Linked DNA regions of Cricetulus griseus. The protein of the gene in region 2 binds, or shares a complex with, the protein of the main gene of each other region. Links are inferred from orthologs where the notes say so. Each region holds a gene or a part of one and is shown on either strand. Other genes may lie near its edges. The genes, in order: Ghrh and Ghrhr.

Region 1 (4,538 bases), on a different chromosome or scaffold from region 2:
GCCAGTGGGCGTAGTATCACACACTTTAATCCCATTTCTCAGGAGGAAGAGGCAAACGGATTTCTGTGAGTTTGAAGCCAGCCTGGTCTACAGAGCACGTTCTGGGCAGCCAAGGCTACACAAAGAAACCCTAACTTGAGAGAGAGGGAAAGAGAGAGTGCAAGGGAGAGAGGGGGGAGGGAGACAGAGAAAGAGAGGGCGAGAGTGAGCAGGGGTCTGGAGATAAGACATGAAGAAGGTGAAAAGCCAGTGTGTCGTGGAGAGGCAGGAAATGCCGTGGCTTGCAGTCAAGGGATCCTCCTTATGTCCAAAGGGTTCCCTGTTTGGAAAGTTCCACTTCTGGAGAGGCCCAGCCCAGCTGGAAAAGGAATCCCCTGGTGTGATATATGAGGAAGACAGGGAGCGTAGATGCTTGGCCCAAGAAACAAGGCCTAAGTCATATGAAAACATACCTGAGAGGCCTGGTGTAGGGTGCAGGAACTGGAGCCACAGTGAACAGTTCCCACTAATACTTCCTGGGACCGAAGGCACCCTAACCAGAGGTGGCCAGAATCTGCAGAGGGGCCTGTTGCCTGAAGAGAAGTGACCTAGTGGACTGGGTCAGTGCTGGACCTAGCCCTCAATGGGACTAGGGAGAGAGGAATCATGGGAATGGTGCCTTTCAGGGACCAGTCAGATCCTCCAGGGCAGTCGTTCTGCTGAGAAGACCCAGCTCCTAGCTGGCCAGTGACTGGCTCCATACCAGGGCAGGCCAGAGCTAAAAGGAACATCCTCTTAGCCAAGGCAGCTCTCCCCTAACTGCAGAGCATGGTGTTAACAGGTCCCAATTAAGGGCCATTATGAAGTCAGTGAAAAGATTCTGGCATACTCACACTAGATGCTCCCTTTTCCCCTTTCAGAGCTCTGTGTAATGTAACAATTCTGCCAGGTTTGGTGGCACATGTCTATAATTCCAGCTCTCGTGAAGCTGAGGCAGGAGGATTATGAGTTAGAAGTCAGCCTGACAACACAGTGAATTCCAGGCAAGTCTCGAATACTCTACCTCCAAAATGTAAGCTTCCAGAACAAGACACTTCCATCTTTACTGCAACTCCACACAAAATGAAACAGCATGAATCTATCCTCCGAGTGAAATAAGTGTTAGGTGACCACAGCAAAAGTTTCTAGAGCGTTCCTTATGTGTTTCTTCTCACCTGACCTGATCATTGTGGTTATTATCTCCATTCTGTGGCTGGGGAAACTGAGGCTCAGAAAGGTTGAGCCACTTGTAATGGGGAGCTCAGGTAGTGAGAGCAGAACCAGGAGTTGAGGTCAGATTTATCTGAGAGCATGGTGTCCTCTGCTCCCTGCTGCAAGTCAACCAGGGGCAATGCTTTCTCTGCCTGTGTCTCTCCTGAGTGTGTGTGTGTTCCCCTCATCCTTTCCAAGAGAGGCGGTTTCACCAAGTTAACAGATTTCCTGCTCAGCCTCATGCAGTAGCTAGTGTGGCTTTGTCCCATTCATCCCAGATGGGGAAGCCGGAAGCCAGAGCTGAGGACTGACAGTGTTGAACTTGAATACAGGTATGTCTGACTTTCAAAGCCCACCAGCCAAAGGATGAGGACCAGGACTTGTCATGGAGTGGTGCCCAGGGGACACTGTGGCTATGTCTGATTGTGCCCTCCTGGTCTTCTTTGCAGGTCCCACCCAGGGGTGAAGGATGCCACTCTGGGTGTTCTTTGTGATCCTCACCCTCACCAGCGGCTCCCACTGTTCACCGTTCCCATCACTGCCCTTCAGGTGAGCAGCCAGGATTCCTGCACCCCCGAGACCTCCCTACCATGGGCAGAGAGAGATGCTGACTGCAGCCACCGCTATTTCTTCACAATGCCCACTGTTCATCTCAGGCAGGCACCGGGCACGGAGCCCCAGAGATCATGCAACCAGGCTCTGAGTTTCTCAGGGAGTGAGGGGGACAGAGAACAACAGAGGGAGGCGAGGCCTGCACTGTCCTCTCGCCAGGCCCATCCTGACCTCTGACCCTTTTGCACAGGGTGCGTCGATATGCAGATGCCATCTTTACCAACAGCTACAGGAAAGTTCTGGGCCAGCTGTCTGCCCGCAAACTGCTCCAGGACATCATGAGCAGGCAGCAGGGGTAAGCAGATATTTTAGTAGTTCTTCCCCTGCATTAGAGCTGGGGAGGCCTGATGCAGGAGGTGGGGACCAAGCTTCATTTGGTCCTGACACAGTGTATATTGGTGGTTCTCAACTTTCCTAATGCTGTGACGCTTTAATACAGTTCCTCGTGTTGTGGTGACCCCCAACGATGAAACTACTTTGTTGCTGCTTCATAACTGTTATTTTGCTATTGCTATGAGTGGTAATGTAAGTATCTGATATATGACCCCCAAAGAGGTTGCAACCCACAGACTGAGAATATATATCCTTCCTGGATTTTGCGCAGGTCAAGCCTCCATTTACCTCTACACCTTCTGTGTGCCTCTCCCTGTCCTTGGCTCCAGTGGTGACAATGCTGATGGTCATTGTTCCTGTTTGATCAGGACTCCAGGCCAGAAACAAAGACTAGGCATGAGGACATGTGCGTTCATGAGGACTCCCGTGCCAGGGCAACCTCTATAAGTCTCTTCTCAGGTCTCTGAGACCACCTGTCGTTACCCCGTTGCACAGACCCTGTGTGCCATCTCCAAAGGATGAACAAAGAGTGGCTAAGTGAAGATCCAAACAGCCTGACTTTTGTAGGTTTTGTTTTGAAAAACCTTCAAATGTACAAAAATGTCACAGGGATGGAGTTAGCAAGTGCTGCTTTTGCACAGGACCTGAGTTCAATTCCCAGCACCTATGTGGAGACTTATACACATCTTCAACTCCAGTCACAGGGGATCCAACACCCTCTTCTGGCCTCCACAGGCACCAGGCATAAATGTAGGCAAACAATAACAACAAAACCCACACACATTAAAATAAATAAATACAAAATTCTCATTTTATCTGAGCCACTTTAAAATTGATTTCTTTTGATGCAAGCTCTTGTATACCAGGGTCGGCCTTGAAATCAGTATGTATCTGAGGATGACTTGCTTCTGTGCCTCCTGCTTTTGTCTCCTGAATGCTGGGATTGTAGTCTCATGACTACAATTATCATGACCTTTTACCCTGCGGGACTTGCATCTCTTAACAGCTAACAAGCAACACCCCCTCTGTCCTCAGTGCCGCTGTCACTCACAACACTTATTCAAATTTCATCAGTTGTCCCAACAGATTCCTTATAATAATGTCTTCCCTGACCTTAGGTCCAGTGTAGGATCACAGACTCCATTTAGCCATCATCATCATCATCATCACCATCATCATCTCTCTCTCTCTCTCTCTCTCTCTCTCTCTCTCTTTAATGTATAGGATTGTTTTGCTTTCATGTATGTCTGTGTACCACATGCATGCCAGGTGCCCTCTGAGGTCAAAAGCGGGCATTAAATCCCCTGAATCTGGAGTTATGGAGGGCTGTGAGGTGGATGCTGGGAATGAAGCCTGGGTCCCCTACAAGAAGTGCTCTTAACTGCTGAGCCATCTCTCCAGCCCTCCGCATATCTTTGAGTTTAACCTGGAAGATGCCTGATTTTCTTGACTTTGACAACTTTGACTAGTAAATGTCATTACTCCCTAGACTTCCCTTCACAGTGAACCCATCCAAGCTACCTTCATATTTAGTATCCATGTGGCCTTCTCAGCCATGGTATCAGAAGCTGCCACACAATGGGTTGTCCTGTTACTGGTGAACGATACATCTGACCCCTTGTTTAATGTGCTGCCTACAAGATTATCAATCTGTGGGGAGGGTTTTGCAGTGGTATACATATGCGTGCTGCATTCTTCACTGCAATGCCTACTGCTCCCCAGATGCTGCTGAACATGGGTGGGCGTCCTAAGAATCCACATCAGATACTGGAATAGCAAAGGTCTACGTCCCTGACTGGACATCCTAGCCAATGACTGCCTCACTGTTTCTCCTTTCCAAACTCGCAGGGAGAGGAACCAGGAACCAGGAGCCAGGGTACGGCTTGGCCGTCAGGTGGACAGCATGTGGGCAGACCACAGGCAGGTGTCACTGGAGAGCCTCTTGGAAGCCCTGCTGCAGAAGCACAGGTGACAGGGTAGAGGGGGTGTGCCACAGGTGAGGGAGCAGGGGGGAGGCAGGGAGAGATTTCTTTAGGGACTTTAGAGACTTTCTTCCCTCGGTTTCCAAGAAAAGCAAAGAATCACTTTCTCTTCACAGGGGTGGGGCCTAGTCTTCCAAGCAAAGGGACAAAGCCCTTCCCTACCCCCCAGGCCTCAGGGGCAGAAAGTGATATGTGTGAGGGGATTGCACGATGGCCACTGCAGTGTGTCCAGTGCAGAACAAGAGGCCAGGCTCAGTGTGTCTTGAAATGTTATCAGTACTTCTGGTATGGATCTCAGGCCCTGAGTTTTAACAGGTGTCCCAAGAGACTGCATTGAGTGACGTGAAGGGTACACCTTGGATCCCCTGTGAAGTCCGTGAA
Region 2 (4,381 bases):
GCAAGGGAGGGCCACCCACTGGCCAGAGCCTGTCGGAGGCCAGCACAGCAGCCCATCCCAGGTCCCAGGGCAGCCTAGGTGGAGAAGAAGGAGATTCAGAGTGACCTCAGAGGGAAGCTGACATGGTATGCTAAAGGACAGCACTGGAGGAGATGTCAGCATCAGGGTGGATCCATCCCCCACCCCTTCATACCCAGGGAGGTGTTGTTGGTCCCCTCTGCCACCTGAAGACACGCAAGCTCATCCTCTCTCAGCTGTGTGATGAAGTCACATTCTGGGTGGAGGTGACCCAGTGCCTATGAGAAATAGTGACAGGGTGAGCCAAGCCCACTGGTGGCCTCCGGCTCTCTAGCTCTAGTGATATAAAGGCAGAGAGCAGGCCTGGTATATTGTTGTGCCCCGATTCTGAGGACCCATCTGTCCCAGCAGTATCAAGGCATATTTGATGGGTAGTGGGGCATGAAGAAGGAGGGAGTGGGAGAAAGAGGGCAAAAGTTCAGAGATAAGGGAGGAAAGGGAGCAAAAGAAAGGGGGACATGAAGGGAAAGAACAGAGGGGGGCAGAGAGAGGAGGAAAGAAGGGAGGGATGGATGCACTTTCCTAGCCCATGGCAGTGAATTCTAAGACACCTTAAAGAAAGCCATTTAGAGAATCCACAGATGGGACATTGCAGTCCCTAACATGGCCCTTTCTCCCCCCATCCCTCCATACTTCTAGGCCTTGCAAGTGTTTCTGCATAAGCAACCCTTGTAGGTAGAACAATGGTCCCCAAAGATGTCCATTTCCCAGTCCACAAAACCTGACACAACTAAGGCACTTAGCATATATGATCTCCAAGCAGGAAGATGTCCTTGATTATCTGAGCGGGACCAGAGCCATCACAAGGGGGCACAAAGATCAAGTCAGAGAGGACATGATGAAAGGAGCTATTGTACTTATTGAAGATGAAGAAATGCCTCAGCCAAGCAAGGAGACTCCAGAAGGACCACAGCCCTGCCAAACACTTGGGTTTAGCCCATTGAAAAGCATGTTGGGCTGTGGATGTGTCTCAGGCAAGTTACACGAGGAAATGTGTAAACTAGTAAGTGGGGAATATACAGGAGGCTGGGGGAGAGAGAAGACAATAGCACCTGACTGAGATAAAGGAACAATGAACAGGAAGGAAGGAGGTCCTGGGAGAGGGGGTACTAGCTGGAGGGCTGGTGGAGTGGATGAGTGTTCAGACAGACACACGGACAATGCGATAAGGGAAGATGGACACATATGGATGCATGGAGGAGGTATAATGGATGATAAGGGTCCTGTATCAGGGTGGCGGAGTTGATCATTAGATGGATAGAAGGATGCTGCCTTCATGTGTGGCTTGGTGATCATAAAGATAGAAGATTGGTACCTCCCGGAGCCTGGGAGACCACAAGGAATGGTCTCTAAGTTTATCTGGACATCTGTGTTTCTGAAGGGTGATTCAGAGGCCATCTGGAACCCAAGTGCTCCAGGCTAGGCAGAGATCTGGGGTATGACTAGGATTTGGCATTTGACCTTTTCTTTAGAGAGCTAGAATCCCTAATATCTCTCAAGACTTACCCAAATGCCTTTGCAAGATCCCTCCCTCCCTCCCTCCCTCCCTCCCTCCCTCCCTCCCTCCCTCCCTCCCTCCTTCCTTCCCCCCTCCTCTCTCTCTCTCCCTCTCTCTCTCTCTCCCTCCTCCCCTCTCTCTCTCTTTCTCTCTTCTCTTCCTCTCTCTCTCTCTCTCTCTCTCTCTCTCTCTCTCACACACACACACACACTGGTCCTTTCCCTGACCCGACTAACTGCTCACCTCAAGGTTTGGAAGAAGACAGTGGTCAACTCTAGTCCCGAATCTGGTATCTACCCTAGCTGCTGAACAACAGGTTTGGGTCTAGGGTTCCCTCCCCTAAATGAAGCTTTGGTGCTATGTACACAGAGTAGAGTGTGAGCCCTTCGTACCATATAGGGAGCTCGTGGACGTTATCTGCATGACACCCACGTGGCAGCCCTTGACAAGCCAGATCGCTCATCCCCCACCACCTCCTAGAGGCATGGCAGCCCCCTGTAGACTGCACTATAATTCTCAGTGTAGCCCAGACTAACATCAAACTCATCATAATACTCTTGCCTCTGCCTCACTCAAGTTTCTCTTTTTACAGAGACAAATGAAGTCTCAAGTGTCACACAATTCACTTCATGGTCCCCAGATGCCAGCATCTTGAGCAAAGGGCAGTGAGGTACTAGAATGGATGGTCACTCTGGCAAATCAGTAGAGGAAGAAGGCAGCCTCAGTCCCCATGTGCTCCTGCTAGTGTCTTGTGGCTCCTCCCCTCTGGGCCCTCGATGCTACTTTCAGCGACCCAGAAAGTCTGCTGGGAAGTTTCTGCACACTCAGGGAAACCTGTACTCCTGACTGGCCCACACCCTGATGCACAAGCCAGAGAGCAGTGGCTGGTTTCTGAAGCCTCTCCAATCCTGGCATCACCAAAGGCAGAGTCACCAACTGCCATAGCTAGAAGAGCTAATTCCTCAGGCCCCACAGAGTTCCTGGCCACACTCCCTTCAAGGAAACATCCATGCTGGAGGTGGCTGAGGAGACAGGAGAGAGGACAACAAGAAGGTGTTGGTTCTTTTTGAGAAGAAATGGTTGGCAGCCTGGAAGTGTGTGGCTTAGAGAAGGGACAGGCTCGGGTGTGACATGGAGGCCATATCTGGGCTCAACTATCCCAAGATGGAAACTCCCAGCATGTGTCTCTAGGGCCCCCAGAGGACACAGATACGACGTGGGCAAGGGAACAAGGAGACATCTCACTTCAAGGCAGAGTCTGAGACTAGTCAAGGGAAGAAAGGAGAAAGCCAGCAGACTGAGGAGTTCCTCAGCCACAGCCTGCCACCACCCAGCTGGAGAAGAAAAGAGAAGGAGGCCTGAGCTGGCTACTTACAACTCCCAACAGGTTCAGCAAGCAGAGGACGCAGGTGTCCCACAACAGGCAGTCCATGGCAGCGATGCCTGCGCTCAGCCTCAATGAGCCTTGGCCCTTTTCCCTCCCAGACTGTCTCTACTGATGCCACCTAGGTGCACCTTCTGTTACCTCCCCTTCCCAGGAACTGTGTAGGCAGGGCCAACAGCAGGGACACCCAGCTGAATATTGAGCAGAATGGTGGGACATTGTGTTACTGCTAGCTCTAGATGGGACTCTGTGTCCTCAGCAGGGGGTGGCTGAGCTCTGATACACCACCTCACTCTGCCTCTGTGTCTGAGTGCACCTGTCCCATGCCTGAATGTACCTGTCCTGACAGCAAGAATCCAGAGGGCACAGATAGGATACCAGAGAAGTGACAACCACAGGACACTGTTACACTTAATACACTTTCCTGTCATTTTCTGAGTCCAGTTCCCCGTGGTCTTACCTGGAAGTATAGGATGGTCCTATACCTGCACCAGAATGAAGGGACCTCAGAAAACAAGAAGGTGACCCAGATCTGCCTTTATGGAGCCCCAGGTCTGTTGACGCCCCCAGTCTCTTCTAAGGGTCTAGAGGGTGAGCTCAAAGCTGAGGGGACCCAGAAAAAGTGGGGCGGGTGACAGTGGAGCCTGGAATGTTTGAATGAGCCTTATGAAAAATGGCCATAAGAGTCTGGGGTGTGGCTCAATGGTAAAGCATTTGCTCAACATGTGTGCGGCTCTGGGTTTAAATCTCTGCCACCACAAATGAAGAAACTGTCATTAAACACAGTTTATGCTGACCAAGAATGTGCCACATTATTTACCTGATAGGGACACAAAGATAATGAGATCTTCTGCATCATCAAGGCTCCCAACTACACATGGGGCTAAACAAAGTTTCTCAATAATCCTCCTGTCCAGAGTGGAAATGGAAGCTAACTGGAGACCTCTTAAAGGGGTCCCTGGAGCTGGGACATTCAAGAGGGGCACAGCATCCATCTTCCATTGTAGGAGTGAAGAGACCCACTCTTTATTTTGACTTCAAAACGCAAGCGCTCGATTGGCCAGGCTAATAATGACAGTGTCCTAAGCCAGACTAGATCTTGCTCAGCATTTGCAGACTGAAAGTGAATGTCACCTTGAACAACCCTGAATGATGGGGGGAACTAAGGGGTCTTGATCACTGAGTGGCCATCTCAATTTACAGAGCTGCTGGGCTGTATGCTGGGGGTGCCAGATGTGTTTCTAGTGAATTTGTGTCATGAATGTGGAAAGCTTCCCGCCACCACATCTGCATTTAGGAGTCATTTGACATCAGCAGGGCTTTATTTTTCCACTCTTAGTCGTTGTCAACAAAATGCTGAAAATATTTTCTACACATGTTGCCCAGCGTGGGTGGCACACAGGAAGAAATCAAGGGCTATA

The links.
Region 1: the proteins of Ghrhr (region 2) and Ghrh are in contact, whole or in part, in a cryo-EM structure (PDB 7CZ5), measured with the Homo sapiens proteins. The link is inferred for Cricetulus griseus from reciprocal best matches to the Homo sapiens genes GHRHR and GHRH. Residues at the interface, in NP_000814.2 of Homo sapiens: Leu119, Ala120, Glu122, Glu123, Phe126, Ser127, Val129, Lys130, Tyr133, Val179, Lys182, Leu186, Phe187, Asp190, Thr192, Asp193, His194, Cys195, Phe197, His210, Thr213, Phe217, Ala271, Cys272, Asp274, Leu275, Asp276, Trp282, Ile285, Ile289; in NP_066567.1 of Homo sapiens: Tyr32, Ala33, Asp34, Ala35, Ile36, Phe37, Thr38, Asn39, Ser40, Tyr41, Arg42, Val44, Leu45, Gly46, Gln47, Leu48, Ser49, Ala50, Leu53.

What each region holds. Positions count from the first base shown.
Region 1 is NC_048599.1:22,214,410-22,218,947, forward strand, and holds the start of Ghrh (somatoliberin), read left to right. Parts: upstream 1-1,699; coding exon 1,700-1,779; intron 1,780-2,032; coding exon 2,033-2,137; intron 2,138-4,023; coding exon 4,024-4,143; intron 4,144-4,538. UniProt on the Homo sapiens protein: GRF is released by the hypothalamus and acts on the adenohypophyse to stimulate the secretion of growth hormone.
Region 2 is NC_048601.1:85,940,059-85,944,439, forward strand, and holds the start of Ghrhr (growth hormone-releasing hormone receptor), read right to left. Parts: upstream 3,009-4,381; coding exon 2,952-3,008; intron 297-2,951; coding exon 194-296; intron 75-193; coding exon 1-74.